Linked DNA regions of Caenorhabditis elegans. The protein of the gene in region 2 purifies or fractionates together with the protein of the main gene of each other region. This does not show direct contact. Each region holds a gene or a part of one and is shown on either strand. Other genes may lie near its edges. The genes, in order: nrde-2 and nrde-3.

Region 1 (16,470 bases), on a different chromosome or scaffold from region 2:
TTTTCGACGAAATTCTCTAGATTTCCGGCTCCGCATGGCACACTTTAACTATGAAAATCTTTCCGGTAAACATGAAACTTTTGTGATTTTAACCATATTATCTCGAAACTAAACAATGGAGAAATATTTGAGTACTTGTCAAAATGCTCATATTGCTGCTCTCCGCCTAACCCTTTGTCTCCGGAGAGCACACGGGGGACATAGACATTGAGCTCTCTTCTTCAAACGTTCCAAACGTTCCATGCATAACTCCTTAGAGTATATACGCAAATGAGCCACGCAGCACGAGCCGAGAAAGAGAGAAGACTGTTTTGTGTATTTGCCAAAAGACAAATAACACGATGCTCCAGGTGAGCTCCACCATTGTTTTTCTTGCGGGCGAGCGCTAAACTGTGCACCAAACGGGGTTAAACAGGAAGAAGCATGGAAAGGGGCCAAAACATTTCATAATTATGCAAATCTATAAAATATGAAGTTAAATGATATCGATTCAGAAGAGATCATATCAAATGGCAATGATATTTGGTATATACACAAAGGAAATGTTCAGAAATTGAGAAGATATTCAGTTTTCTTGATCCGGAGCCGATGCTGGAAGACAGAACAGAATTGAGCTATCACCATTGCCAATTGCCAGAGTTCTCGATGATGGGCTGAAAAAATAAAATTTTTAGTCAATTTCAAAAAAAAAATCTGGCATAATTTCAATTTTTCAGAAATACCGGTTTTTTTTGCATATTTGAAAAACCGAAAAATACAAATAAAAATTGAAGAATTCAAAAAATTTCAAAGTTTTAGAAAATTTGGAAAGCCGTAAAATTATATTTTGTTGGAAATTCCAAAAGCAAAAAATTTTCTGAAAATTTGGAATGCCGAAAAATAAAGAATTTTCCAATTTTCTAAAAATTCGAAAATCCAAATTTTTTAAAAATATTCCAAAATATCTGGCAATTTTAAGAGCTTAAACCTACAAAATTTTGAAGAATTGGAAAATTTAAAATTTTCTGAAAAATATGAAAATTTTACAAATTATCATTTTTAGAAGTTTTTTTTAAATTTTTTCAATTAATTTTGTGTGCTAACAACTAAACTTACGAATAATCAAATTTGGCTGGCTCCGCGGCCAATTCATGTGAAGCACACCACTGCTGACTACGTGTTCCTGGGCTGTAGATCTGGAAATTTAATCGGGTTGAAATTCTAATTAATGCATATTTTCACTGTTTTTCGTTCGTTCAAAATTTTAGATATGTGGTTTTTTTTCTTCCGAGTCCAAGAATGTGCTAAAAAAGCAACCAAAAACCAAAAAAATGCCTTGTGACAAATCGAATTCCGAATATATACATCCATCTTTGCTTTTTTTTTCATTTTTTGTGCTCGAAAAAGAGAGACAAACGGAAAGAGTGGAACACTGAATTTTTGCATATTTTGCAAAAAAAAAACGAATTCTCAGGAAAATAGGGGGACCTATGAAATTTCTTAAAATGGTTTCTACTCACACTGAATGTGTAATTACGCTTCAAACTTCGCGCCATAATCAAGTGTGCTCCGTGCTCCAAAAATGATTGACGGGTATAGGAACCGACCTAGAAATTATTTATATTAACTGAATAATATTCTATATTCCCTACCGAATATGTCTGCAAAACGTTGAAATTATTTGCATCATACAACTTGACTTTTCCATCGGATGTTGATGTTAGAAGTTGATTACATTGAAGCGATAGACATGATTTATATGCTGTTGGAGAATATTCCTGTAATTCAATTTCATATTATTTTTTTTAAAATTTGATTCAAAAAACTTTTTAAATGCTTTTTTAAATCACCCAGCATCTAAATGTAGCAATTTTTTACTCAAAAATACGGTAACCGGTCTCGGCACATAATATTTTGTTAAATTAGAAAAGGTGTGCGCCTTTAAAGAGTACTGTAGTTTCAACTTTTTTCTGTGGAATTTTCATAGATTTTCTCACAATTTGTTAAAATTTAAATGTGCGTTTTAATTTTTAATTTTAGTTTTTTTTTGAATTAATGAGTATGTTTTAACGAAAAATACAAAAAATCGATGGAAAATTTCTTGATTCTTAATTCTTTCAAAAATTTGCAAGAAAGATGCAGAAAATTTTTCATCAAAAATTGGCAATTTATTTTGAAAAATTATAGAAAAACCAGCAAAATATTTTTTTTGCAAGAAATTTTGACAATTTTCAAACTACAGTACTTTTTCAAATGCGCTCATCTTTTTGTCTTCAACAAAAATTTGCTGAATCTCAATTTAAAAAAAACTCACAAAAAGCACAGGTTTACTGAAATTTCGTCGATCTACCATCATCATAAGTCTATCTTCTCCACTCGTAAAAATCTTATCCCCTTGAACAGCCAAAGCAATTACAGCTCTTTTGTGCAGCTTGTGATCAGCGACTACTTGAAATGTTCTGGAATCAATGACAGCGACCCGTTTCGCAAATGTTGTGCACACAACTTCATTCTCATTTCCAGAACAAGAAATACACTGGGCCGCAGATCCAACATTCACGGAATTAAGATTTTGAAGAGCTCCATTATCTGTGATGTGCCAACTTTTTACAGTTGAATCCCACGATGTTGTGTAGAAATTTGTTGATGTGCTCTCTTGAGCCATATTCCAAATCCATCCAGAATGAGCTGTATCATCTTTTGCCACTGTCCATGGATTTTGTTCAGTATCTTCACCATTTCGAGCGTTTTCAATGCTCCAAAGACGAATAGTTCGATCTCTGGATCCAGATAGACAGAATTGCTTATTATTATTCTCGAAAAGCATCACACTATCGACTGTAGCTGAATGTCCTGGAGCAGTGATAACTGTCTGCGTCTCCCATGCTCTCCAGCGATCTCTCTGTCGATGCATCGCGTAAAATGATTTCTTTGGTTCATACTCAGGATGCTTGAGTTCACAATCTGGTAGACGAACTTTCTGCTCAGTGCGCTAAAAAAATAAAATAATTTTTTTCGATAAAATAGTAATAATACGAACAATTCTTCTACTCCAAAATTTGTCATCGTTTAATATCGTATTGAACCTTCTGCATACCAGTGGAATTTCTGTGATCAATTGTCGTTGTGGTAAATAGGTGAAAAGATGGCAAAGGAGCTCCGAAGGAAGGGATATGAGCTCCGTTGGTTGAGCATTTGTCATAAGGATGCTGTAAGAATAATGAGATAGATATTATGGGAAGCAGTGTTTCAGAGAAAATTAAAAATCGAAAAATTAAAATTTTCGATTTTCTGGAAAATCTTGAAATCTTTTTTTTACTTTAAATTTTTTGAATCAAACTTTGCCTGTTGATAAGAGAAAAAAAATACTTTTTCACTAAAAGGAAGCAAATTGACCGAAATTTTAATGTAATTTGTGAACAATGGGAAAACGAAAAAATAGCGATTTCTCTGGAAATTTTTTTTGAAGCCGACACCGCAGAAAAATTCGTTTTTTGAGATCAATGTGAAAGCGCGCTCAGCAGCGAAATGAGCAGGATCCGCCTCCAATAGTTGGGTCTCGTTAGGTATTGGAGGCAAAACAGTGAATCTCTGAAGCAGACATTTTTCGAAGACATCCTTGATTGCCGAAAAATAAAACGTTTGAATTTTTAGGCTTTTGCCGCCAATTAACTAACGAGACCCATTGTATTGGGGCTGTGGAGCACGCTCGCACACTGATGGACAGAAAAACATCTGAAAATAATAATTTTTCTGAAAAAAAAGTATTTTAATTGATCAATAACCAATACAGAGATATCATAATCTATATCACAATAAAACAAAAATAATTCATTAAGAGCATCGATAACAAAAGAAGTGTTCAAAACGAAGAAGAAATCAAAAATAGAAAACAAATAAATCTAAAACTACAACTCCTATCTCACACTACCACATGGCTCTTTGGACTCCACTGAGAGCTGATCTATCTGCAAATCGACGGAACAAGTGTCTACTCAATCTGTATGGCTTTATCTTTCCACGTTGTCGTCCTGTGAACTGGCACATATTGAGAATCAGACGAGGATGATCGTATTTTCGAGCTTTTTGCATTTTCTCGGCTGCTTCGTCACGAATCGCTTGCGGGAGAATTGTGTTGAATTTGATAGCTTTTAGACGCATACGATCCGCGCCGACTTCCTGAAATTAAATTTTAATCAAGGGCAAGCAGCAGGCCTGGGCTTGTTTAAGGCTTTTTTGTCAAAAATGGGGGTGTCGGGGGTTTTTTGTTACAAAAATGGGTTTTTTCTGGTTTTTTTGGTTTGTGGGGGTTTTTTTAATAAAAAAGGGAATTTTTTGGTTTTTTCGTCACAAAAAATGGTTTTTTTTTTGGGTTTTCTGTTTTGTGGGGTTTTGTTTTTTTAAAAAGTAATGATTTTCAATAACGATTTTTTGGTGGTTTTCGAATAAAAAAAATATTTAAAAAATTTCAGACATGTGAAAAGAAGCGAAAAACTTTTTTTTGTTTATGGAAAATTTTTTTTGGTGACAGCCCTGGTGTTTTTTGGTATTCTGGCACGAAGAAAAATGCGATTTTTTTTTTGTATTTTAAACAATTTATATTTTGTAAATATTCTTATGGTTTTTGATGTTTTTTAGCTCTGTCGGTAGTGGTGGCCGCTAGCAGTCTGGAGGTCACGAGTTCAAGTCCGGCCTCACCCCCTAGGTTCACCCAGCCTCTATTGGGAAGTGGAGCAATCCACGACTGGATTATCGGCCACAGTCCCCGGCTAGGACGTGGCTTAAATTACAGCCCAGAGGGATCACCACCAGGCAGTGTACCTGAATCCCAGATCCGCAGTGCATAGCACTTGAAGAACGGATCGTCCTTTAATCCTTTAATCCTTTAAAACAAATTTTTTGGCACATATGACAATATTCGTATTTTTTGGTATTTTTTGTTTTGGTTCTTTTACAAATTTCAATTTTTTTCCTTTTTGGTTTGAAATAAAAACCAAAAATATTTTTAGCACATATGACAATATTCGTATAAAAAATAGAAACCAACCTGAATCTGCTCACGTCGTTTGACATCTCTCAACTGACGCCAACTCGCCCAGAATGTCATTCGTTTTCCGGTTTTCCACCATTCTCTCTCCACGTATCTATAGAAACGTATATTCAATACAAGTGTATAGTTTATGTGCAATTCTTTCTCACTTTGAGAATAAAAAAGCGGCAGGCAATAATTTCAAAAATATACAAAAAAAACCAAAAACCTACAATGGATACTGATCAAGTTTCAATTTTGTAAGCGCCTCGCTAGAATATGGTTGAGTGATTCGTTTCTCTTTCATAGGTTCTCCAGCATCTTCTACAGATGTTGCCGGTTCCGTGGATTCCGTAGTCTCTTCAGATGATGGTTTTGCAGGTTCAGGAGCTGGAGTTGATAAATATCTGGAAATTGTTGGACATTTAAATTAAGCCATAAGACGATAATTCCTGTTTTCTCAGCGCGAGAAAAGGATTGAGTTCGAATAACAAATTTTGAAATTTGAAAACCAAAAAAAAAGTTTTCCATTTAGTTTTTTTTTCGAATAAAAAAGCAAAAATTGAACTTTTCGTCAAAAATACGAGTAATTTCGCAGGCCTCAAACGTTTTTTTTTGTTGAGAATTTTCGAATATTTTAATAATAATTGCATTTTACTTCTAATTTCAAGTGTAAGTTTTCGGAAAAAAAAGGGAAATTCTAAAAATTAATTTTTTAAAAACGTTTCCATTTTGTGGCAGGTTCACTTTTTTCAACGAAAAATTTTCGCTTAAACAAATTTTATAAATTGAAAGTTTAAAATATTCTCGAGTGTAAAAAAAGCAAAACATCAAAATTTTTCGCCAAAAGCAGGATTTTCGCATAGTTTAAATAATAATTAGAGAAATCTATACTCACCTTCTACTCATCATCATTTCATTCTTGTAAAGAGCCGTCGATAGTAGGTCCGCTGCTCCGCGGAGTGCCCTCAACATCTGTGCACATACATTGCAATACATATTTAATACAATTATTCATGCATGGAAGGAACTGGTTGGAGGAAGTGTAACCTCTTTCATGATGAAAGAAATATGACATTAAAACGAATATTTTCATTGTTGAAAACAAAAAATTTTTACCGAAACAAAAAATGCGAAAAGACAGAAGAATTATAATACAAAAATAAACATAATCTGTCGGATAGAAAGAACAAAAGAAAGAAAGATTCCTGGGATGAAATGAATACCGGTGGATAATTATATGGAATGGATTTTTAAAAAAGTTATAGGCCGAGTTACACAAAAAAGAGAGAATCAACGTCCGGATTCGGAATACTGTAGTCCAATTTCCTGCTGTGTTTTCATGTATTCCTCGTCGGTCACAAATAAACTATGCTCTTGTCCCATGCTTTGTTCGAGAATGAGGTAGCTGTAAATAGTGTTATTTAGAATGCATTGGCATGTGTGCTGATTATAATTGCATAGCGTTTTAATAAAATTTATTCGCTTTGTATTGTATTGTTGTATATAGACTAGACTAGAAATCGAAAAAAAATAATACGATTTAAATTAATTATACTTCGATAATTTGAACATTGTAATAAAATCAATCTTAGTTGATTATTTTCAAAAATCGGGCACAACAAATTACATTTTTGAACTGAAACTTTGCTCTCAATAATTGAACTTACATCATCTCCATTAGATCTCCATTCTTGCGGACAGTTTTTGCTTCAATATAATCAAAGTGCAAATTGAGAGCCCATGTACATTGACCTCTTGCACGAGTGTAAGCCTGTAAGAAATTTAAATTTCACATACAACCTTTTTTCCTGAAAACTCACATCGTCCTTTAGAATCTTCTGTGACAATTTACTGGCAACTCTTATAACTTGTCTCCAGATAGCCGGATCACGTGTATTAGCTGCTTCTCGTTTCCAATTTTTATAGAGGATTTGATTTCCGGCGTCTCCAATCCGGTTGGCTGCATTCATCCAAGAGAACATAATAGTCAACGAGTTCATGAGAAGACGAGTTTCAAGTTCTGGATCAAATTGCTGATCTCGTTTCGCATTCAAAATACTATTTCTGCTGTCGGTGAATCCTTGAAGCTTCATCACTTGCAGACGACCGCTGGAATGCAGCTCGCCGAGCATCTTCGCATATTTCGAATCACATGGGAACGCTTGCGATGCTTGGAAGATCAACTTTTTGAAGTTTTCATTGTAGATGAAACGGTGTTTTTTGTGCGAAAAGAAGGTTATGAGAGTGTCCGTGATGAATTTCAAATCGATCTGATCACAGTATTTTTCATAAGTTCCACGATTGAAATCATTTTTCTTGGCTTCAAATTGCTCGAATTTGGTGATCGCGTTGGCAATGAGGCAGTCGACTGCACGCCTGCTGAATGCCATCTTGTCCACTGAAATTTAATAAAATAATCAATTAATTTTTACAAAGACTCAAAGACTATAAAACTCACAGAAAACAAATACCGCCACAACTTTCAAAGCTTCGCACAGTGCCTCAGCTCTTGGTAATTCTGGTATACTGTCGACCGATTCAAGATTGTCCTTCTCCTTGCAATGCTCCAGCAATTCGTTCAATCCTTGATCCAATGCCAATAAGAGAGCTTCATCACTTTCAAATTCCGAAGTGTGAATTCCAAGAATCTCTTTACAGAAAACATCTCGAGTCTCTTCTAAAGCATTTTGATTTAGAATAGAAAGTCTTCCACGTAGAACATTGGCATAAAGATGTAATTGAAGCGTTGGCAATGAAGAATCAGCGCTCTGAATGAGCTTTTCTGTTGATTTGGGGATAGCTATATCAATCATATCCCTAATCTTATCACGAATTGTTTGCACTCGTTCTTTGTCTTTCTTTAACAATATGACATCGAATTTAACATCATCTACGACGCCTTCCTCCATCTTGATCTCTTTATAATTCTTCCTTCTCTCGTCAGCTTCCACTACTTTTTCCTGTTCTTTCAGTGCACGCTCCCACCAAGACACAAACTTTTCCATGTAGACAATTCCTGTGATCTTACTCAGCATGGCACGCTTGAAAATGTCTGGATGTTTAGTGATGAATGTTCCAACCAAGTTTTTAAGATTCAGTTTAAAACTGTGGAAATTCAATTTCTTCTCCTGTTCCGAAGCTTCGGTGACGAGCATTGCCAGCAAGTACTTCACCATAGTCTTATCCAAGTATTCAGGATTGTTTTCGGTCAGTTTGAGTCGATTGTAAAGCATAAACTTCAGAATATTATTTCCAACTTCAAAGCACTTTTTCTCGGTATAAGTCGGAGTTTTGTAGAAGTTAACAGTAGAATCATTAGAAATCCAATCAGAAATGATTTGTTCGGTTGTTGTGAAGCAGTTCGTCTGGAAAAAAAAAGTATTTTTACAATTCCTCAAAATTAATTTCAAGCATAATATTAGTTGAAATTTGCTTACCGAATTTAAAAATTTGACGCCGAGCAACTCCAAAAAAGGTTGTACAAAATCGAAATTAGCACAATCGCCTGGTGCTTCATAATATCGAATTCTATCAAAAGGAATGATGTCCCAGAGTTCACATGTCTCTAAGTCGTCCACATGATCTTCATAAAGTTCACAATCTTTCAGTTTCGTCCGTTTCACGCGAGCATCGATGTTCATCATTTCTCGTTCAACTTCGATCCACGAAATCTGCACGTCCCGTTGAGCTTGAAGACACGTCGCTATTGTTTCCTCGGTGCGTGAAATAAGAATATCAAAATCATCATTTTCCAATTTCTGAATATCTTCATCAGATAATTCTTCCGATTGTTTAAGCATCTTCTCTGCACCAACAGCACCTTCGTCGCCGATTCGCGGAAGACCAGATTCCCAGAATTCCTCCAATCTGACTTCCCGTTCTTTTGAATTAGTGCTCGTCCGCTTTTCAACATCAGCGAGTCCAAAATTGTATTCAAAAGTGGCCTGAAATAAGTAAAATCTTGAAAAAAAAAGTGATTTAATACTCACAAAACCAAAGGTTTCTTAGTATTTCCTAAAATCTCACCTGTATGTTTGCCAGTACCACTGGCGTGTGTGCACAGGAAATCATCCACTTCAAATAACGAATATAAATCCATAAATGGAACATTCTAAGCAATGGTCTATCGTTAACAGCATTCAAATGTGAAAGAAGTGTTCCATTTGTCAATCCAGTCACTTGTCGGATACAATCTTCGAATGCATTCTTCAATTTTTTGTAATTGTACACATTGCTATCATATTGTATATAGTCCAAATACTTGATCCATACCATTGGTTCATGTGGAAATGTGATGGTAAGATTTTTGAAGTCATCAATAATAGTAGGAGAGTTGGGATCCATTTTGATGAGTAATTCAATTTTCATCAATCGAAGTTTTGCATTTCTACCGTCGGCTTTAATGGCTTTTTTCACCATTTCCTGGTGACGTTCGGCAAGAGCTGCTGGATTTGAACTGGAGAAACTTCCAACATTCCGACGACACATTTCTTCTTCCATTGAAATTACTTTGATTAGAGCATCAATGTTATGAACATTTTCGGAAAATGTTTTCTTCGCCTGTTCGAGCTCAAATGTGAACGCATCTTTTCGATTATCCGAATCGTTTGCTAGAACATCATCGTCAATGTGCTGAAATCTTGGTTTTCGGTTTCCGATATATTCAAAATAACTCACATCAAGATTTAATAAATCAACTCTGTCACGAATCTTCCAGTAACCGCCGACTGGAGGCACATATCGAAAGAATGTCTCTTTCGGAACATCCTTCAAGTATCTATCCAGCTGCTCCCAGAATGGGCGGTTTTCCTTGTCTCTGGCATATTCCGCTCCATAAATATTCTGAAAACTGGTTTTTTGAAAAGATTAAAAAATAAGTGCCAAAACATACGTTGAACAGAATATTGTTATGCTCCAAACCGACAATAAACTTGACACTCAATCGACACTTGGCAATTTCTTTCTTCGGAACTCCTTGCGTATAGTTTTCACAATCACTTTTAGTTTGAGTAACTGTAATTTTTTCTCGTTGGAACTTTTTAAATTAACAATAATTTGAAAATTGCGCAGTATTTGCCGGCTGGCGATAATATGAATATTTAATTTCTAAATATATTTTAACTTTGAATCGTAAATAAGCATTAACTTTATTGTGATATGATCACTTTTTTCGATGAAAAAACTTACTAAACGCAGATGAAATGTACGCATCGCACGTGCGATATTCTTCATCGGTGAGAAATGCATATTTTGCAGGTTTGTTCATTTTCATTAAAGTGTGAGATGACGTATCCCGAGCACGAGATGACCTATCCCGAGAACGAGATGAACTAGAGCTTCGGCTACTGGATCTTTTTCGTCTGCGTTCCTTCTTTCTTCTCTTCTTTTCACGACTCCTGCTGCGTTGCCTGCCATTATCCCGATCGTATCGGCGACTGTGAGATCTCGATGGACTCCTGCTGTTGCTTGCTGAACGTTTACGACTTGTGGATTGTTGACTTGTTTCTGGTGGATCTTGGCAACCATTTAAGCTTTTAACGGACGGAAATGTATTGTAAGCAGTTGCCTGAGCTGCTCGGGCCGCAATTTTCGCGTCTCTCCTGAAATTTTATATTATTTTCAAACTAGAAAAATTATTTACGCACAAGGCATTTTGCTTTTTCACCTCTGGGAGAGTGAAAACATCATCTGGATCAATGTACCTGTGGGGGCTCATTCTAATCTGAAAGCAAAAATAAGTTTAAAGTTTAAATGTCACTGGCCTCACCCGAACACCACCATTATCGTCATCACTATCAGATTCTCCAATTCCAACTTGCTGAAAAACAGAGTCATTCTGCACGGCGAGTTTCTGTTTTTCGTTTCTTTTTAGAGTGGTAGTCTGAAATAAATCGCATGAAAGATGAAAAAAAAAACTAAATATTTCTCACCGCTCGTTGTTGAACAGCAGCCCTTGTTTGCGTATAAAGATCTGGATTCTCACCAGAAATTCCTGGAAAAATGAATTTTGCATTTATAAAAATGAGATGAATTCGTAGAAAAAACTTACTTTCTGGATTTTTCAATCCATTATTTCCATACGCTCGAAACATTGTTCATTAAGTTTGGTATGATATTACCCTGAAAACAGCTTAATTCACAATTTGCATAATTGTTTTTTTAATGAAAGAAAGAAAGTTTTAAACAAAAAAAAAAAGGAAAAATGTGACTGTTCGAAAAGAAAAACAAAGGTGTGGGAGGCCCCACGAAAAGGGGAGCAGAACGAAAAGGGGATCTGCAAAAAGGGGAGATACGAAAAGGGGAGATACGAAAAGGGGAGCTGGCACTGTGCCAAACGCACAAAACGCAATTTTTCTCACGCAACGCACGTTGATTTTTGAAGTTTTCTTCTAGAAGATACGCTTAACAACACGCGACGCGTAACATCGGAGCCGATGCACCATGTTTCGGATCGGTATAGGTTCAAAAGTGGTAGAATTATATAATTTATTACTGATAAATCCGTTGAATGATAAAAATGAGAAAGCTCATATTTAACATGCGACCTGCCGGTCCGGGAGTAAAACGAAGAAGTGACGATTTCCTTGCGCGGTGTCGACGTGTTGGGGTTTGATGTGCATGTGTGGTAGTACTGTAACACTCGTGACGTGTGTGTCTTTTGGCGCGGCTTTCAAACAGGAGTTTCCCGGCTTTGTCGTTGTTGATGACTTCGGTGGATTGTCGTGAGCATTTAGAATACGGAAAGACTTCGTAATAATCATAATAATTCTTTAATATTTCCTTGACGCATTTCCTGGGTATTAATATCATTTCTCAGTCGTGATCGGCGGAACATCAGTATTCTGCGTATTCGCGACAATCGTTGTATCGTTTTCTTCGAGAAAAATAGCGTTTGGCACAGTGCCAGATCCCCTTTTCGTTGCTCCCCTTTTCGTATCTCCCCTTTCCGTATCTCCCCTTTTCGCAGATCCCCTTTTTGCAGATCCCCTTTTCGTTCTGCTCCCCTTTTCGTGGGGCCTCAGATGTGGCCTTTGAACGCTGGCGCACTTTACGATATCGAGAAATGCGTCAGAAAATGTCATTGGAGCATAATCTGCCTTAGCGATTTCTGTTTTTTTCCAACAATCTTAATTTAATTTTTTAAAGTTTATTTTTCAATGCAGAATGTGTTTCAAAAAATAGAAATTCGTGAATTATAACGACGGCAGGTCTTTTTTGACGGCAGGTCCTTTAAATTCAGGGAAAATGAGCCGGAAAATCTGTTTTGCATCATCTAATTTTACTGAAAAGGTTGCAACTCTGTTTTAATACTACGTTTTCTTCAAGGATTACACAAAGTCTCTCCGAATTTCATTCCTTTAAAGAAATTATTGTTTCATACTTTGGCATAAGTACATATATAAATCATTTCCTTTAATCAATATTCCTTAGAATATTTTTGCACCATCCCAAGCTTCAATCTATTCTTTCAGATGTCTTGGTTATTTGGTGTTCAAAAAAACGCTACTCCGCAGATTCCGGATGATTTTCAAGCAGGTGCTGCTCCTGGCGGTCCACAACAACCAGGTCAAGGCCAACGGCAAGAGGGAAACAGCAAAATGGCATATTCCTTCGACTCAACAGCTTTGGAGCGTGCCGCCAAGGCTGCTCGTGATCTAGAGAAATTTCCAAATGCCAAAGAAGCTCTTGAATTGTCGAGAATGCAAGAAGTTACACGCCAAAAAGAGGTCGAGAACGAGACCAAGAAGATCGAAGCTCAATTGGCCAATATGAAATCAGAGCACATTCGTGTTGCTGAAGAAGAACGGAGGAAGACTTTGGGAGAAGAGACTAAACATGCGCATTCGGTAATTTTTCCAAACATCTGAATACATAACAACTAAATAATTTCAGCGTGCTGAATATCAAGATCAATTGGCCAGAAAGAGAGCCGAAGAGGAGCTTGCCATGAAAGCTAGAATGCAGGAAGAAAGCCTCCGAAAACAAGAAGAGTCTGTCAAGAAGCAGGAACAACTTCGCAAGCAAACTATTGAGCATGAGTTAGCATTAAAACACAAATACGAGCTCGAGAAAATTGACGCAGAGACCAGAGCCAGGGCAAAGGCTGCTCGAGATAACAGAGATGTAAACTTAGAGCAAATGAAGCTTCACGAAGAAGAGAACCGAAAAACTGTCATTGAAAAAATTAAAACCAGTGGAGAACTTATCGGTTCTGGACTCAATCAATTTTTGAATGATAAAACGAAAATCGCTGCTGCAGTAGGAGGATTGACTGCTTTGGCTGTCGGCTGGTATACCGCTAAACGAGGAACTGGAGTCACCGCAAGATACATCGAATCTCGTCTCGGAAAACCAAGTCTTGTAAGAGAAACATCCAGAATCACTCCACTTGAAGTACTCAAACACCCAATTAAAAGTGTTCAAATGATGACTCGTCAGAAGAAGGATCCACTGAATGGAGTTGTATTACCACCTGCTTTGGAACGTCGTCTTCGTGATATTGCCATTACCACCTCAAACACAAAGAGAAATAATGGACTTTTCCGTAATGTAATGTTCTACGGACCACCAGGAACCGGAAAGACACTTTTCGCAAAGAGTTTGGCTCAACATTCCGGACTCGATTACGCAGTTCTCACTGGAGGAGATATTGCTCCACTTGGACGTGATGGAGTATCTGCAATTCATAAAGTATTCGACTGGGCTTCAAAAAGTCGCAAAGGGTTGATTGTTTTTATTGACGAAGCTGACGCTTTTTTGCAAAAGAGATCAAAGAATGGAATGTCTGAAGACACACGTGCAGCTCTCAACGCTTTCCTCTTCAGAACTGGAGAGCAGTCGAGAAAGTTCATGCTTGTCGTGGCTTCTAATCAGCCAGAGCAGTTCGATTGGGCAGTTAACGATCGGTAATCCTTTTTTTTAAATAAAAAACAGAATTTATTATTCTTTTCAGTTTCGATCAGCTTGTCGAATTCACACTGCCAGGAATGGAAGAACGTGAACGAATTCTTCTGCAATACTTCAACGAGCACATCGTCACTCCAGCAACTAGTGGATCTCGTTCTCAACGACTGAAACTCGATAACTTTGATTGGGTTGCTAAGTGTAATGAAGTTGCCAAAAAGACATCTGGAATGAGTGGAAGAGAATTGAGTAAACTTGTCATCGGATGGCAAGCTTCTGCATATGCATCTGAAACCGGAGTGCTCACCGAGGCTATCGTTGATCGTAATACTGCTGACGCAATGGTTCAACATGAACATAAGATGGAATGGCTTGAGAAGGAGCAATTGAAAGCTCGTAACCAAGAAGTCAAGTTCGGAACTACGTTGAAGAGAGAAACTGCTGTTTAATTTCAAAATATTCATTTCCTTGTTCATGATACTCTATTGTTTTCTATTTACGTTTTTTTGTTGTTTTTTCTTTTCTGAAATCTTCAAACTTCCGGTAATTTCGTAATTTCATTCTTAATCAGAAATTTTGCTGATAATATAATTTTTTTAGATAATTCAATTAGGCCCTTGTTTTTCTATTGTTTTTTTTCGTTTTCCCCTTATTTTCTAGGTCAGTCATTTTTATTTAGTTTTTGTGTAGTAATTTAAGTAGAGTGAAAGATTATTGTTTTTTTTTTGTTAATAAAGAAACTCTTCATTTTAATGTAATACTAACTAATAATCGCTTTTGTTGCACTTCAATTTTTCATATTTTGAAAGCTTCTGAAGAGAAAAAGCAAAAAAAATAATTTTCAGCCCAAATGTTCGATTAAAACGATCAAATGGATACTGAAACAAAAAACTTGCGGGAGGCCGGAGAGGTCTTTCTGTTTATGCACAGGTAAGAAGGAAAAAGCTGGCAATATATGGTTTTTTCAGAAAATAAGAAATCAATTGAAATTAAACGTTTATGAGCTTTTAGCCTAATATTTCCAGAAAAGCAACAATAAAAAGCTAGAAACCACAATTTTCAATATCAGAAATCCTGAAAAACAATAATTTCAGAATCTTCCGTGCATCCCGCAATCTTCGTGCACATTGGTACATTGATCATCTCGGAAAGGCCGTATCAATCGAAGAAGTTCCACAATGCTCATCATATAAACCATCAAAAGATCCAAAAGATGAGTACAGGCAAGAGATGACAGTCATCGGGATTGTACCAGCCGGAGGAGATGGTACAGAAGTCGTTGGAGACGAGCAATTCATTGTGACTGTCAGAACGAAATGCACATATATATCCAGATATTATCGAATTGTTTTTGTTCTTGATCTCAGTCCATCCGTTGTTATGGCGGTGAGTTGGTTTTGGCACGGCTGCGCTGCATTGTTCATCTGAAAATTCTACAAAATGAGCCTTGGTTTTTTGGTCCCAAAAACCAAAAAATCAATGTTTCGTCAAAATACCAAAAAAAAAAACAAATGAAAAACCTAACAAGTCCCAGCCCAGAGCAATTGTGCGAAATCACGTAATTTTTCAGGACGATGAATCCAACTGTTGCCTCGTTGATCGAATCATCCCAAGCCTTCGAAATGCTCTACGATCATCAGTAAAATCATTTGTCATACCCGGAACGAATCGAATTTTTCGTCCTCAAGTTCACACGTCCATCTGCTTGTTCACACCTTTTATGAAGTTTGAGGAGACTTTTGTACGTTCTTTTTTCCGCTTGCATCCGAATTCATAAATTATTTCAGACGTTATGCCAAGGAGTCTTCGTCACTGAATCAAATGTTGATATGGTAATTGAATCGGTTGAGATAAAGTTCGTCGACATCTACAAACGACTGTTCACCTTCTCCCGTCCGATTCTCGAAATGTGGGGAAAACTGAAACGTCGTCACAAGCACAATAAATTCGATTCACTTTGTGAGAGTGACTCGCAGAGTGAAGATTGCAGTCGAAAAGTACCATCAGCGGAAAATATTCACTTATCTGAATCTTCCGCAGCATCGACTTCACACAAAAATGATGGAGATGCAGACAGAGCAATGGATGGTGGGAATCTTATGTCAATACAACGTGGAATATGGTCTGCAACTGAACGTCATGAAGATCAGAAACAATTGTCATTTGCAAGTGATAAGAGTTATGTTGCACCGGATTGGTCGCTGATATTTATGCTTCGAATGGGTCTTTTACAGATTCAGATGCTCCCCGAAAATACTCAATCTAGTGAGTTATCAAGTCACAGGGCTGGGAACAAAAAAAATTAGATTTCCCAGAAATTGAAAAAAAAAAGTTTTTTCGATTTTCTGATATTCTGAAAAAAAAACAGATTTTACAGATAAGTGGAAAAACGAAAAAAAAATTCAATTTCACAAAAGAAAGGTTTTTAAAAAAATATTTTCGATTTTTCAAAAATTAGCTTCAAATTTTGGTTTTTTCTCAAATTATGAACAAAATTAGAATTAAAAAATCATATTTTATGATTCTTTTTTTTTTTTTGAATTACCGATATTCCG
Region 2 (16,082 bases):
GCAGCGTCGGAGAGTTCTGGGCACTTCACGACTCTATTAAGCCGCCAAGTGGGCTCAATCCACCATCAGATTATAATGTTTTCAGAGATGGAATTGAGCCAATGTGGGAGGTGAATTTTTTTTTTGATTTTTGCGCTGATGCACACGTGGTATAAATATTTTCATAAACACATTCCAATGTGTTTTCAGGTGCCACAAAATCAGAATGGAGGAAGATGGCTTATCACTATCGAGAAAGGACGCACTCCGGAAATCATGGACACTATCTGGACCGAAATTCTTATGGCGATGATCGGAGAGCAGTTTTCCGACGATATCGAAAGTCTGTGCGGAATTGTCTGCAACGTCCGTGGAAAGGGCTCAAAAATCTCAGTTTGGACTACAAACAGTGCTGATGACGGGGCAAATCTGAGAATTGGGTAGGTTTTTATAGTCTAAAAACTAATGAGGTTGTAGAAATAACGTTATTGGTTATGAAACTAGTCTAGTTGATCATTACATTTGATTGAGCCACAGACAACTTCTGGGTGTTACAAGACGCAATTCATCCGTTCAAAAACAATTTTCCACTGCTAACCGTTTGCAACACATAACGTTATTGGTTATGAAACCAGTCTAGCGCATCTTTCATATGTACCACAGAATTTGATTGCTTAATGGTCAGCGAAATTCCAAAATTATGTTAAAGCAGCGGTACATGTAAAATTGACAGGCAACTGTAGAGTAACTAAAGTGAAACTTTCAATTTTGCAGAGGCGTCTTGAAGCAAGTGCTCAACAATGCAAGCATGATCCATCAGAGACCACTCTACGACGTTCTCCGTTATGAGGATCATGAGAGTTGCCAGAAGAAGACGAGCTCAGGAGTCAAAGCGAAGCACGCCATTTACGCGGTGGAGCCACGCGAGGAGAAAGCCCCAGTTCCAGTCTCAACCGAGACTCCTGCCACACCAGCCACTTAAATTTCTTTTTGATGCGTTATTTTTATTAACATATATCTTGTTTTTTTTTAAATCCTAATGCGTATTCACGTCGTATTTTAACATGTTCTTCACTTGTTGAAATGTTTTTATTTGGTTGGCTTGCGGAAATGAACGAATGTTTTATATCTGTGTTTTCCTTCAACTGAATAAAAAAAGAGTGTATTATCATCACTTAGTTTTCTGGATTTTTTTTTTCAAAAACTACAAACTGACTTATAACGTGTCCATGATTTGATGAGAACTGCGGACGCCCGCGTCTCTCTTCTCCACACGCTCCACACGCTCTCTCGCGATAGGCGTTTTGCCTAGACGTTAGACAGCGTTCGAGAAAAGAGACACAGGTGCTTTTTGCGCGTAAGATATGGCGATTTTTCTCACCCTCACATGGATACGTAGCACAAAAAGTCTATTGGGTTTTCAAGACAAATTTTGAAGTATAGCGTCCGGACCGGATACATTCATTGCGTCCGGTGTGTAGGATTTTCGAAATTTTCCAAAGGGTAGGATACCGTGAACGGCGGCTGACAATTTCCGAGTTAGGCCACTCTTATAATCAGTGGCCAAACTCGGAAATTGTCTGCCGCCGTGAAAACCTACCCCTCGGAAAATATTCAAAGTTCTAAGTGTTCAATGGAAAACATTTAATTTTAATTTGGTTTTAATTAGCTTGAAAATTAATTAGACAAGATTTTAAAATTGTCTAATGGAAAACAAACATTTCTTAAATAATGAACCACAGAATTTTTCAATTTTCTTAGCATTATCCAGTGTTGAAACCAAACAGCATTTCTTTAAAAACTTTTATTGAATTTAAAAAAGACAACGTTTAAACATACAAATGGTGGAAAACTTTTTAAGCAAAAATTCTGCGTTAAGCTTGTTTAATTACAAATTTTACAGCTTATTCATCTGTCCTGAATTGTAATTAAATGGGGAAATGGATGAGAACCGAATGAAACGCTTGGAAGAAATGGAGTTTACGGTTGGATTTTTCGTCGAAAATTTGTCCAAATTTTTTTTGCAGTATTCAATTTGCCAAGCATGGTGGGGTGATCTCAAATTTAACTACAAGAAAAAGGAAATAAGATCTCTTCGAATTTCCGTTAGAAATGTTTGTTTTTTTGTTGTCCAACTGAAAAAGAAATTTATAAAGTACCTAACGTTTCAAAGTTAAGTAGTCGGCTGCAATATTAATAGAGGAAATACGGTATATGATAATCAATTTTTGCAAAGTATTCAATTTGAGAATTTTTCCACAATTTTGCAGTTACCTAAAAACTCTGAAAATGAAAATGATTTAGGATACAGATAAATTCAGACTGGAAACACCCGTGAAGTAGCATTTGAATTCCCGGTACCAAGTCTCGACAAACAGAACAGTGTTTCAATTAATCTCTCTGCCGTTGATGTGTCTCAAGTACTGGTGAGTAAAAACTGTGGCATCTGTCATTTTAAAAAGCGTCATAAATTTTCAGTCAAAATTTATTGTGATTTTTTTTTCTGAAACGGTCGGAAATGTTTGAATGAAATAACTTTTTGCACAAACCACATTCTCATGGAAAATTTGAAAATTTTCAGAATTTTTTTAAAAAGTTGGATTGACTGTTGATTTCTATTATAAAATTATGAGTAGCAACAAAGCGGGGTTGACCGTGTTTGACTGCAATATAAGATGTGTACCAGGGCTGTGCGGCAACCGGCAACCCAAGTTTGCCGGTTGCCGAAAAGTTGTTGAAGTTTCGGCGACCAAAAGTTACCGGTTGCCAAAATTTTTTGGGTTCGCAACTTCGGCAATTGCCGGTTGCCGAAAATCTCGATTGCCGCACAGCCCTGATATGTACTTACACAATTCTTCGGAAAACTTTTAAAATTCGAGGTGCCGAAGTGTGCCGGATCATTTTTTTTTGTTGTATAACAACAATTTTTGCAGTACTCAAGCCCTCAACTTTGCTGTAGTCTACCTACATCTCTTATACTCCGTCTGTCTGCTCAAGGCATTCAAAAAATCATTGAGAAAGTTCCGGTGAATGTGAAAAAGTGGGAAAGTTTGCTTAAAAATAAACAGAAAACCTTCCAGTGTTTTTCGGAGTAAGGCCAAGTTTTTATTTGTTGAAGTATCGTATAATTTTAGTTCACTAATGTTTGTTATTGATCCTTCGAATACCAACCGTTTTGTTTGTGAAAACAACGTCAAGGAAATAACCATGACTTCATATACAGAAGAAACGACTTACTTTTTTCACTTTGTGAGTTGGGTTTTCTATGCACGAACAACGTACGGTAACAGAAGAAATACGTATAAAATACAGTTATTTATATGTTAACTTTCCTCCGAGATAATATTAAAATGAACATCAAATTTAGGAAAAATACAAATGTGTAGATTTTGAAATTTTGGAGATGATAACTTAGAGACATATAATAGTGCAAAACAAACAAACCGAACAAAACAAGTTTTCTAGATGTTGTGGTCTGAAAACGTCTGGAATTAGTTGGTTTCTATAAGTCTATTATTAGTATGTAATGACAAGAATCAAATTAGAGAAAAAAAAAATCAAAAATAAGCAAACAAGTGGTATCAGGCTGTCCCATTAGAGTTAGATCTACAAAAAATGGGGGAAATGGGCTTTTCCCAAAAAATATGTGGCGTCAGCACGTTCTTAACGTAGATCTACGTAGATCAAACAAAAATGGGAAAACCTGACACCACGTGAGCAAATACAAACTAGAATAAAAAGCAACTAATTGTATTGATATGTTTGATTGACAGTTCAATACAAGTTATAACAAAAAAAGCAACTTTCCAACATCAATTTTCTACTGTTAAAATTGAGTCTCACTTTTGAAAAAAAAAACCTTGCAATGTTAATTGTGCGCTGAAAAATATGGCTCTCTTTTTGGTTCTAATTTCAGATTTACAAAGCGGGCATGTTTTGTGCAGGTTCTCTCGGTCTTCATGATTTTGCCTAAAACTAAACCAATGCTTTCTTTTTGAGATAGATAACGATTGGATGAACCAGCTTGTCTCTTTGAAATGGACAAAATCGGAATGTATGAATTTATTTGGTAATTTTTCTTAATTTGTTACCATGATTTTATACTTTTTTCAGTTTGTCTTGATGAGCGAAACTATACAAAACATTATAAAACTTTTGGATTATTACCCAAAGAAACAACACGGCAACTATCAAACGGAAGGGAACTTTTGACTTTTAAATATCGTTAGTTTTTAGAGGTTTTATCAGGCCTGCTGGTTCTTCGGGTTTTCGACTTATCTTACTAGGGAGCCCCTGCAAATTGGCCACCATAAGTTGACGGGGCTCTCTAGTTAAATAACCCCAAAAATCAGTTAAAAATCTCAAAAAAATTCAAATATTTAAATATTTAGCGGTCACCTTTGCGGTCACCACCAGGCAGTGTAACTGAATCCCAGATCCGCAGTGCATAGCACTTGAAGAACGGGTCGTCTTTTAATCCTTCAATCCTTTAATCCTTCTTCAGCATAATCCAACTAAATGTCAGAAACTGTTATAATTATTCTAAAGAAAACAATATAAGGAAACAAAAACCAAAAATTAAATTGCATAATAAAAAAAAAGGTAAAGGTTTACTATGAGTAAATTTTTAAAAAAGCTGAAATATATAACATGTTTTTCAACAGCAAATACATCGATTTTCAACTGATTTTTATTATATCATTTTTTAACCAAAGTTGTCCAAAATAAAGAAAATGATCCAATAACAGTAAAATAAAACCTATTAATTTATGTTTCTAATCAAACACACGACATTGATAATTTAAGGAGCAGAAAATTATATTTCACAAAATTTCAAAATAATTTTCTAAACATTGCAGAGCCTCCAACTACACTAACATCCATTGATGATTCCGAAAATTCGGACGACGATTCGGACGATGAAAAAATTGATTCAAATAATGCGGAACGTGAAGAACTTTTGCTAGTAGAGAATGAACTAAAACGGCAAAATAACGAAGATACCAGTTCAGAAAGAGGTTGTTAGTTAATTGTGTTCTTTTAAATAATTTGTTTTTTTCCAGAATGCTCCCAGCCGTGCACATCAGCACCACCGAAAAAACGAGGAAAAAACCAGTGAAACCCGCAGTGATGTATTAAGAAAATATCTCGAGAACTAAAATAAAATAGTATAAATCCAAAGGTTTATTTTACCAAAGGGAATTATATTTTACTTTTCTTACATAGGATGTACTCTGATGCTTCTTTCTTACTTTGTGTGTTATTCGATTCACCCCGATGCTCATTTTTTAAATGTTCTATCTTATCTAGATCCGAATAAACAACAATTAATTAATCAAATAATCATTTGTTAACTAAAGTGAAATTATATATTAGAATAAAAGATTTTTTTTAAATAAAATTTTCCAAGAAGCTCCCAGATAGTTTGCCTAATCCTAAACAAATGTAAAATCAGACTTTCTAAAGTGCTGTAAAAATGCACTGAAACATTTTCAGGTCAATATTTTTCAGTGCAAGGTGCTCCTCTGCCATTTTTTTTTCAAATTTGAACATTGAAAGTGTGCTCCCCGATCGTTATATGTCTCGCCCTCAAGTCATCAAGTGAAATCCCTGGTAAACCATGAATTTATTGGTTGGTTAAAAAAATTAATATTGAAGTTCATAGTGTTAGAAATAAGGAATACATAATGAATAAATAGTAAAAAAACAACATTGACACTTCTTAAAGTATAAGGGGATGAGAGTTTGATATCAAGAATTGTAAGGCAAAGTGAGCAGTTGATAGAGATTTGAAAAAAAAAACAGGATGAGGTGGCAAAAGAGTACAGATTGCAAAATGATAATGGAAAAACGGCAATTATGCCCAAAAGTTGCGTCCGTTGATGGTCATTGCATTTAGATCGTTGGAAACTGTCTCAATGAAATCGCGCATCAGAATATCGTCAACTTCCTCTGACGAAATGATTTCCTCATGTTTTTCCTTGATTCGATAAGAGTAGTCGTTCATGTCCACAAGCTTTCTGTGATACCGATTAATTAAAACTGTCTTGGAAGCAGGTCAAACTCACGTGTGTGTTTTGTAGTTGTTGTGACCACGTTTAGCAAGATTTTGAGCAGCATAGCTCACGTTGGGGATAGCTGGTGGTGCATAAGAGACCTGGTGGGCAAACGCCAAGTGGTAGGTGACATTCATGATCTCATTCTTGCTCCAACGACAATCGTTGACAATGATAGTATACTTTGTTGGTTTTACTGTTCCCTGAATATTGATCATAAAACATTTGTGCTCAACATCCCTTGCTAAAATCAACTCACAATCAGAGGTGTTTGGCAACAAAGAATGAACTCCTCGTATCCGTGAGAGGCTCCTGGCACATCGACGCAAGTGCCGGATTTTACATTTTGCTCCATGGACTTTCCACGTTCATTAATGTGTTCAGGGAATACTCGGATGTGAGAGTTGCGTTGTGTGCAAATAACGAGAAACTTGGGATTGTAACCATGCTTCTTCTTTCTTGCAGCCAGCTTCATCTCGTTAACCTCGTTGACAATTTGCGGATAATCTCCTTCACCACTTCCGACACGATAGACAACAACTGTCTCAGGAAGATACGAGCTCGATTGCTCGTAAGCATTCAAGCAAATTTGCATCTTCTCTTGAAGATTTCTAAAACTATCAAATAGATTAAGAACACGGAAAAATTCAAACTTACGTGAGCTTGTGCAAACGACTTTCCTGGAAATATGAAAACCCTCCAAGCTGAGCACTGTGTTTGAGAGAGTACGCAACTCCGACGACAGTTGGATCTCCGTCAAACATAACTTTCTGAATGTCGAATCTGGTCCTAGCGCCTGTATGCGACATCTCGAATCCGATAAATTGCGTCTTTGCGTACAGTTTTGCTCTCATTTCAGCAGAATTGTTGCAAACGACTCGATGGCCAACCGACTCGGGCACGTCAATTAGGAAGTTAGTTCCTCCACACTTGGGGTTCAATTTTCTGATGACATTGTCAATGGTTTGTTTTCCACCATGGTCACGCATGAATTTGTCCGCGGTTTCAGAAGAAATTTGAATGGTTTGCTGTCCAAGCTTCTCCTCAAAGTATTTGAGAATGTCTGAAAAAGCAATTTCAGAATCAGAATGTGATGCGGTTTTTGACATAAGAAATTTCAGAATTTTCCATGCACACTCTTGTATTTAGTTTCGAATGTAACAATTAATGCCTTGCGTCCTCGCACACAACTAACCTTTAATGCTTGTGGCTAGTAAAGTGGTGCTCTACCTAAGTAGACCTGCAACATAAGGTGTTAGGTCGCAATGCTACTTGCGATCTGGCGACCTAGATCGCATTGCGACCCAAATGATACCAGCCCTAGTGGCCATCCTCATTCACTCTCCCAATTTGGTAGGATAAATTCATCCAACAAAAAAAAACTCACCATGCATATCTGGTCGTTTTTCGGCAATAATTCCAAACACAATCGTAACGCCGTTTCGAATGGCTTCTTCTATCTCCACTTTTGTACCTCGTCGGTCTGATGAGCCGAGATTAACTTTTTTCCAGCTGTTCGGGCGGCTATCAAACTTCATTCCTTGTTCGGAGCAATGCTTGGCAAGCCCTTCGGCAAACATACTGTAAAAATAATCATTGAAGTATTTCTTCGAAAAGAAAATTCTTACTCGACGTTTCTATTAAATTCCTTGTCGTAGTTGATAATCGTCACCGACTTTACTCTGGCTGGCATGACAAACTTGCCATTAGTCTGGAAACGCACACCACGGGTTGGATTTAGACTGTACAGCTGATTGTTTGCGAACTTCATGTCTGGTGGGGAGAGCCAATGGGCATTCGTGACAATTGGCTGGATGCTTTTGAGCGACACACGGAAAGCATCCATTTGGCGATTTGCAGGCTGGTCACCAAGTTTTAAATATTCCGTCAAAACCAATTTCGACTGTTTGATGTGCTGATCAGGCAGGCTGCTCATTTTTCCAGTCATATAAGATTGCTGAAATAAATATATTGATTGAAAATGAAAATGAATAAATTGAAATAACAAAATGAAATAATTGACTAATGTTTTTGGCTTGACAACGACCGTGGTCATTATACCAATCTGCAAGGTAAGACATGATGATGCAAAGAAAAAGCCGACAGTTGGCCCAGATTCAAGATTTCCTCGAACGATATTATTTTTAAACTAAAAAGTAACGCACAATATCAACAGTCATATGTGACTGTTTGATTCTCTGGCCAGGAAGAATGGACATGAGTTCCATAGGATAGAAATCGTAACATTTCGCCCGTTTTGAAGTCACCAACGGAAGATGTGGGAATTTGAGACGATAGTTGTACCGTTGTAAATAATACTCTGTGATGGAAGTGAGCTTCATCTCTCCGTCGGGAAGTTTTTGTTCAAATGTGACACTGAAATTTGTTAGTATTATATACGCATAAAAGTGTTTTTGGAGAAACTGACCTATCTGCTGTTCCGGTGTGAATTTCGTCTATCATGATTGAACGATTGGCTTTCGAGTCTTTAAGATGAATCGGCTGACAATCCAATCCTTTGAGAGACTGCTTGAGAGTGTTCAGCATACCATCCGAAATGCGTTCGTCTTGAAACTGTCTTTGATAATGTGAGACAGTTCTCTCGTCATAATCAATTTCACCATCACGCGGTGAGCGTCTATCATCGTATTTTCTACTGTTCCCGCCGCCATCGCGACGCTCTCTGCCACCATTGTGGCCTCTGGGTCCTCCACCACTATTTGTAAGTTGATCCATTTTGGCAGTGAAAAATTTGAGGAGAGACGTATCTTTGTAGAATGGCGATTTTGTTGTGTCAACGGTCATAATTGCATCTGGTACACCGTCCCGATCCACAATTTTTGTAGTCTTCACGAATCCTGACTTAATCAGAGTAACCTCGTCGGGACTGGCAATATCGCCCCCCTTCGTGGGGAAAGTTCCCGACGAATAGAGCAAAAACTTCTCATTGTGAAGACATTGGTCTGTTATAGCTTCAATGATACGTGTTAGCTCAGAACGGTTCTCCAATGTCAAAGCGTTTGGTCCACGCGTGTAGATCTGTAATTTTTTTTTGAAAAAATAAAAAGGAGAATGACATGTTTTTTATATAGGTTTGTGTAGTAGTTTGAAAAGAAGCCGTTTAAATAAAAATAAAAACTGCAACATGAAATTTGCTCAAATCAGAGCGCCCAAACATTTCACTTTAAGTTCTCGGGGACAGCCAAAATACAAAAGGAAAAGACGCTAAAAGATGAGTTAAGAATCTGAAAACGTTGTCATACCGTGCTTTCAGGACTTATGTTTTTACAGTCGTCTTCATTGGTAACTTTTTGTGAACTTTTGAAGTCAAAATTCCTGTTTCAAATTTTCAGCGTCGATAAGATATAGACGGCTCAAGAAACTCACTGGTGGATTTGTCTTGATGCGAATTTCAAATGTCGACCCACTCCGACGTGAGATGAGAGAAACGATTTTCCATTCTTGTGGCGAAAAGTCAGCTTCTGTCAGATGGCATACGTGCTCGGTCAACTCGACGTCAAAGAAGCTACATCCCACATAGATAGTTTCCGCAGCGTCGTATGCAGCGATTGCCGGATCAGTCATACCTTTGAACAGCTCAGGATTTCGTTTGAACCATGCCCGGAAGAGCAGGCATTGAGCTTGACGTCTTTGTTGACGGTTGACGCTAAAATATTCATTTAATTGTATATAATATGAAAAAGAAATACACTTACTCTCCGGAGAATGCCGAAACGCCAAGAGAAAGTTCAAAGCGACGTCCATCCGTGTGAACCAATGTGGCACGAAACATTATTCTGCTAATTCTCTCGTCCATTTTAGAAATATCTAAATTCCAAGCATTCATTTGTACCCGAAACGTACCAAAATTATTGAATGAATCCGGCACCGACACTAAAAATCAATTATATGTGCAAATTTCGCTTGCTAAAAAACCCACATCCTCCCAGTGGCTTTCGTTTTGGATCGGGACCTGTGCGATCGGTATGCTCTCTTTTTGGAATCCGACCTCCAAGAGATCCTTGCTGTGAGCCCGGAGTAGTGAAAAGTGGCTTCGGTGGCTGCTGTTGGCTGGATGGCTTTTTTGCAGTGCCCCAAACATTTGTACGTGGTGTGGATGACGCAGATGTGGCTGGTTTTTTGGCAGTTGAGCCTGGCTTAGAGCCCATCTCACCCATTACTTTGTCTAGGAGATCCATGATTAGTTGTGCAAATTACCTGAAAGAAATTTTATGAACTTGAAAATTTTATGTAAGAAACTGAAAAAAGAGAGCGAGAAAAAATAGAAGAATAGTTTGTGTATTTATAATTTAGTTAATTATATTTTAGAATAGAGATCAATAGAAAAACAGCGTCAGCACAGTCGCACAGCAAAGGAATGAAAGGCAACACCAACTAAATTCAAAGGCATTTGAAAGAGAGAGGGTGAGATGTGTCTCTTGCGCAAGATAACAGAGCGCGCGCACAGAAGAGGTTAGTGTGCAATGGTATTGGAAGAGGGTGTAGGGTGAATGCGTACGCAGGTATGATCGATCAAAAAGAGCGCGCACCAGATGAAGAACTGTGTAACAGACGAGTGTGTGTGGTGCAACGCGGAATAAACGTATCGATCGGTTATCGGGGAGACTCCTCCTTCATCGCTGATCGTTAACGAAGACATGAATAATAAGAAACCATGAGATCGTCATAATGCTTACCGGTTTGGCGCGAAATATCGAAGTGCCGTGGAGCATGTTTCGAATAGAAACGCAGGTCCCTTCACTACGAGGAACGGTAGGAATTCTCATGATCTCATGCTCGGGCAAAAATAAAAAGTCCTAAATGAAGTGAAACTCTTGCGTAAAGAGAAACTCCTACATATTCTTTCATAGAAATTAGGGATTTTTGCTACAATCTTAGCCTTTCGGGAGTTTTGTCTAGTTTGGAGCAACTCCTGCACACTCCACAATCTGCAACAAACTTAGTACTCAAGATTTTTTATTATTTTTTGCGGGAGTGGTTTCTCAATGCAATCGTTGTTTTTTCCGACAAATCGGAAAATTGCCGGAATTGAAACTTCCGGCGATTTGGCACATAGCCGGAATTGAAAATTTCCGGAAAATCGATAAACCGGCAAATGGGCGATTTGCCAAATTTGCCGAACAGTTTCGGTAAATTGTTTTTGTGGTTTTGCACTTTTTTTTTTTGAAATTTCAATATTTTAATTTCAATCGGCAAAATTGTATCCTGTGAATGTTCCTAAATCTATTCTGAAAAATAAGCAAATCCTATAAAAAATATCAAGAGAAAACGGGAATAAAATTTCAACAAGGCTAAGTTTAAAGTAGTTCCGTCTTCTGAAAAAATTACTCTAAACAATTCCGGCAAACTTGATCGACGGCAAATTGGCAATTTGCCAAAAATGAAAATTCCCTGTAAATCGGCAAACCGGCAAATTGCCGGTTTGTGGATAAAAACTAAAAAATAAACATGTGGATAAAAAAATTGCCAAACAGAAATTGCTGCCCACCCCTGATCCAAATGCATAATTATTGAAAAATCTACAATTTCATTTCAGTATCTTAGCGAGTCCGTCAATAAAATTGTAAAAATGATTGCAATTATGTTAGAAGTAAGTGCAAAAAGATTACAAAAAGCCAGCGCAAACAGAAAAAGTTTTTATTTTATTGCTCGATTGTTACTCTGATCTACAGCGGACGCAGGTTGCGTAGAGTTTAAGAATTTCAGTTTTCCGGTCAATCAATCTATTGGAAGAAATTGAAAGTGTAAAATTTAATAGAATTTTTGAAATACGGCAAAGTTTTACTTTTTTTAAAATATAAATATAAGGGAAAAATATAAAATAGAATTTTGATATTTTAACATTTTAAAAGTTTTTTTGAGGACACATTTTTCAGGAAAAAATGAAAAGATTTCAGTTCTACTACATAGAAACAATACATTATGTACTCACTCGGACTAAAAATAAATATTTTATTTCAGCGGCGGTTCTTTAGATTTTTGAAAAAGTGGTTCAATTGTTTCAACTTTTTTCCCACTGGATTATTCTACTTGTTTTTTTCAATGGCGATTACTGAAGCGATTCAACAGTTTGAAAACTTCAAGCAACCCCAACATTTTTACATTTTTTTCAGAAATAACATTTTCCGGAAAATTGATAACACAAAAGACGCAGATTATTACAATTTAAAAACTAACTAAACATACATTTTGCTAAAATGCTAAACTAAAATGGGCATAACTCAGTCAATGATTTTGGTTGAGCGTTGAAAATAAAAACAAGTGAGAGACTGACAGAGAAAAAAAGGACAAATGAGGCTGGAATAAGGTTTTCTTAGAGGGGGAAAAGACACAAAGCAGATGGTAGCAGATGCATGGATTGTAAACGGGGTAAATTTTACCTCGAAGAGCAATGTATGGAAAAAAAATTGATTTTGCATAGAATAGAATTAAATACAATGGCTACTTCACAAGCGTAAGAAAGAAAAAAAATAACAATTTTAAATTTGCATTCATCTCGACTTTATCTTTAAATTTCGTGCAAAAAACACTGAAAACATGAAAATTGGTAGATAATGAGAGAAAAAAAATTGAAAAGTTAGAACGTACAGGCTTCCTGCATCGAACGAATTCTCTTGGCGATAACTTAAACAGGAAAAAGGCAAAATTGCGATTTTTCCAATTTTCAAAAATCATATAAAATATAGAAAAATTTTTTGATTTTTTTTACTATGATACTTGGTCATCGTGGTATAAAGGCATGTTCTAAAGAAAAAAAAATTTGGCATTTTCGGGTCAAATAATATAATAATTAGATTTTAAAAAAAGAAGAAAGTTTCCAAAAATGTCAGACTTTTCCCATAATTTAATTATTTTAAGTTTATCAAAAGTTTGCAATAATCAAATTAAGGAACAATCCCACGGACTTCAAAGGTAAAAAAGTGCGCAGAAAAATTATTTTCTTTAAAGCTTAAAGGTGGAGTAAGGCCAGTGGGGATTTTGTTTAAATAAATTTATAATGATCCAAAACAATCAAATATGATAATAAAGCACTCAAAAATGTTTTAGATTTTTCATAATTTTTGGTCAAAGTTTTTACAAATTTCCAAAATTTTCAAAAACATGAGCTTTTGAGAAAATATAAAGCAATGTCGCATGTTCCTACCCCTACAATGTTTTAATACAACTAATTAAAACAAAATTAAAATATAAAAACCGTAGGAAAAACAATTTTTTTGGCCGACTTCCAAAATTATGAATGGCAATAACTGAGTAATTGTCACTTTTTGACAGTATATAAAAAAATTTTCAAATAAAAATAAAATTTTACTATGATATTTGGTCATTTCGGCACCATAGGAGTAGTTTTTACCACTTTCCCCACTGGCGCTTCTCCACCTTCAAGTTAGTATGCTCTTATGCAGATGAACATGTCAATAGTTGTGAAAATGTATTTTTGTTTCATAAATTGGTGTATTGAAGGAATGGGTCTTGCTCGAAACTTAAATTAAAGTAACACATGATTTTGAAATTTACATTAAAAAATGTCAAAAATGGCACTCAACATCTCGCGATTTGGAAAAAATGTTTGATCGTAAGTTTCTAAAAACCTACTAATAATGCATTTAGTCATGCTGGAATAGGTTTAAAAAAAATTCACGGCTAAGTGAGAATATAAGACATATTTAATAAAAAAAGTTTTTAGCTATCCATCGGGTGTGGCACAAGTGAAAAAATCCACACAGCTCCGATTGCTCAAGAGCACGTGGGGATAGTAATTGGCCTTACTATTAGTTCTATCTCTGATGACAATAATTTTTTCTGCAACTCTTGCAATTGTAGCGGTAAAGCTAATAGGTTTGTAATGGATTTTCATCTCGTTATGTGTTTATTTTCACGGCATTATACTTTTATTAAAAAACTAACTATGTTTCAAATTTTCAATTCAAAACCACAAACTATCATGTTTAAAATTAAACGTTTTTGAGCATAGTCTTGAATTCGATTACACCACAAAAAAACAAAAAAAAAAGCCTGCAAAATTTCTGGCACTTTATGAAACTTTTATGGCAGATTGGCAAACCGATTTGCCATTAAAAAACCAACAAATTGCCGATTTGCCGAATTTACCGAAAAAACAGCAATTACCAAACATTTTCTGCAAATTGCGGTTTTGCACTTTTTTTGAAAATTTCAGAATTTAAATTTCAATCGGCAAAGTTGTACGCAACCTATGAATGTTCCTGCATATATTTTTAAACGTAAACAAATTCGATGAGAATATCTGAAGAAAACGAGGAAAAATTTCAAAAAGGCACAGTTTTGAGTGTTTCCGAATTCTACCAAACATTTCCGGAAAATCTGATATCCAGCAATCGGCAAATTGGCAATTTGTCGGAATGGATTATTTCCGGCAAATCGACAAACCGTCGATTTGCCGATTTGCCGAATTCGTCGACAAAAACAAAAAAAAATTGCCACCCACTGTGACTGTTAAAATGTTGATATTACATTTTTTTTGACTATTTTCCGCCAAGCCGAAATTTACTTGTTTTCGACCCTTTCTTGAAAGATTACTTGTTCAGTCCGGTGACCGTTGAGCCCGTTCCACCATTTTGGCAAAATCACATCTTAAATTGTAAGCAATTAGGCACACCTAATAACCTCTCGAGCAAACTGCTACATTTTCATATCGTGACACAGAATATTTCTAAGAAACATAATGCACAATTTATTACCCACGCAAAAACTAAGAAAAAATGAGGTATAATGAGGTGGCGAATGAGGTGAGCCATTTCCAAAACTTTTGTATTCAGGATTTTTTATCACTTATTCAGATACTTGCTGAAAATGCAGACGCTTTCCAAATTAAGCCCGACAAACCAAGCCTCTCCTCCGAGGAATCGTGTGGCAACCCCAGAAGAACTCGTGAGTTTAGAATATCCATTTTGTAGAAACAAATCTCAAGTTTAGAACAAGCTTCGTGAGCAAAACGCACTTCTGGAGGAGCACTGCGAAGTTTTGGTAAGTAGAAAAAAACTAAAACAGATACAATCTGTTCTTTTAGTCTGCTAGTCTCACTATCAGAGACAAAGTTTGCCCGTAACACATTTTGTAGTTGTTCTATAATATTTTCAAGTTAGATTATTTGTCAAAACAGTATGAGAACTGAGGTTTTTATCCCCATTTTTTGAGGAGCAATATTAAACTTAAATGTCGCATGAAAATAGCATACAGGAGCTACCATCCGATGGGTCCTTTTTTCAGTAGAATTACTAAGTGACCCACAACTTTGAAACTAGGAAACAAATTTTGATAAGAAAATAATTTCCGCCAAATTTTCAATTTAATGCATTTTGCTATTCTGTCAAAATCTACCATGTCAGTTCATACAAAAAATAAAACATGATTCACAAAAAACCAGTTTTTGAATCTTCTTAGAAATACGTTGTTTACACTTTTTTTGCATCCATTTTTAATTTTGTGTTTCAATATAACCACTGCTCTGTCAAACAATTGAATGGGCTTTTTTGAATTATGTTCTAAGTATGAAATTTGAGTTCTACGTTTAAAATTTTGCATTATATTTATTTCCCAGTCAATCTGTGATCAAACAACAAGCTGCAAACTGTAGAAAACTTTGTGAAAATAATTTTTGCACTTAACTTTTTTTCTAAAAAAACTTATTTTCAACATTGTGGGTACTAAAATAAAGTGACGACCATGAAAATGTTTCATATGCTGGGCAAAACGTACCAACATTAAAGCAAATCCTTGCAACTTGAAACAAAACATTTATAAAAAGTTGTTAAAATCCCTTTAGAAGTTGCAGAAACCAATGAAGCTGTGAACGAAATTTCTTACTAACTAAAGGAATAACGTTAAGTGTGTAATTTCTAGGAAGACAAAACAAACTTCAAATAAAATATTAAATCTTTGGCTACTTTGTTAAGCTTGGTTGTAAAGTTGGAATTTTTTGTATGGAAATTGAGTGTTTTTTTCTGAAATCCCTGCTTTATTTAGTGGCTGTGTCAGTCCTTGAGTTGT

What was found.
Region 1: the proteins of nrde-3 (region 2) and nrde-2 purify together in Caenorhabditis elegans (affinity purification with western blotting, with the first as the bait; one study listed by BioGRID). This does not show direct contact.

The regions. Positions count from the first base shown.
Region 1 is NC_003280.10:10,236,508-10,252,977, forward strand, and holds nrde-2 (Nuclear exosome regulator NRDE2), read right to left. Parts: upstream 11,132-16,470; 5' UTR 11,104-11,131; coding exon 11,061-11,103; intron 11,004-11,060; coding exon 10,942-11,003; intron 10,893-10,941; coding exon 10,779-10,892; intron 10,734-10,778; coding exon 10,657-10,733; intron 10,612-10,656; coding exon 10,199-10,611; intron 10,025-10,198; coding exon 9,903-10,024; intron 9,854-9,902; coding exon 9,689-9,853; intron 9,644-9,688; coding exon 9,038-9,643; intron 8,956-9,037; coding exon 8,449-8,955; intron 8,377-8,448; coding exon 7,470-8,376; intron 7,410-7,469; coding exon 6,832-7,409; intron 6,783-6,831; coding exon 6,679-6,782; intron 6,417-6,678; coding exon 6,302-6,416; 3' UTR 6,089-6,301; downstream 1-6,088. Other genes in the region: F-box/WD repeat-containing protein mec-15, read right to left, coding at 566-653, 1,096-1,175, 1,500-1,586, 1,632-1,757, 2,294-2,971, 3,020-3,181; mrps-14 (Small ribosomal subunit protein uS14m), read right to left, coding at 3,907-4,158, 5,027-5,123, 5,242-5,415, 5,907-5,983; atad-3 (ATPase family AAA domain-containing protein 3), read left to right, coding at 12,484-12,858, 12,905-13,917, 13,965-14,364; F54B3.1 (Protein SZT2), read left to right, coding at 14,787-14,845, 15,010-15,301, 15,486-15,656, 15,703-16,180. UniProt on the Caenorhabditis elegans protein: Protein of the nuclear speckles that regulates RNA exosomal degradation. Involved in short interfering RNAs-mediated silencing in nuclei.
Region 2 is NC_003284.9:366,406-382,487, reverse strand, and holds nrde-3 (Nuclear RNAi defective-3 protein), read right to left. Parts: upstream 10,254-16,082; 5' UTR 10,235-10,253; coding exon 9,976-10,234; intron 9,930-9,975; coding exon 9,752-9,929; intron 9,703-9,751; coding exon 9,423-9,702; intron 9,075-9,422; coding exon 8,464-9,074; intron 8,412-8,463; coding exon 8,201-8,411; intron 7,993-8,200; coding exon 7,664-7,992; intron 7,617-7,663; coding exon 7,423-7,616; intron 7,099-7,422; coding exon 6,693-7,098; intron 6,647-6,692; coding exon 6,295-6,646; intron 6,239-6,294; coding exon 6,048-6,238; intron 6,000-6,047; coding exon 5,837-5,999; 3' UTR 5,588-5,836; downstream 1-5,587. Other genes in the region: ife-2 (Eukaryotic translation initiation factor 4E-2), read left to right, coding at 1-110, 190-419, 754-961; R04A9.3 (NPL domain-containing protein), read left to right, coding at 1,920-1,964, 2,007-2,093, 2,301-2,405, 2,913-3,070, 3,114-3,228, 3,979-4,048, 4,093-4,203, 4,839-4,997 and 1 more. UniProt on the Caenorhabditis elegans protein: Transports small interfering RNAs (siRNAs) from the cytoplasm to the nucleus. Required for RNA interference (RNAi) in nuclei. Required for exogenous RNAi-induced H3K27 methylation.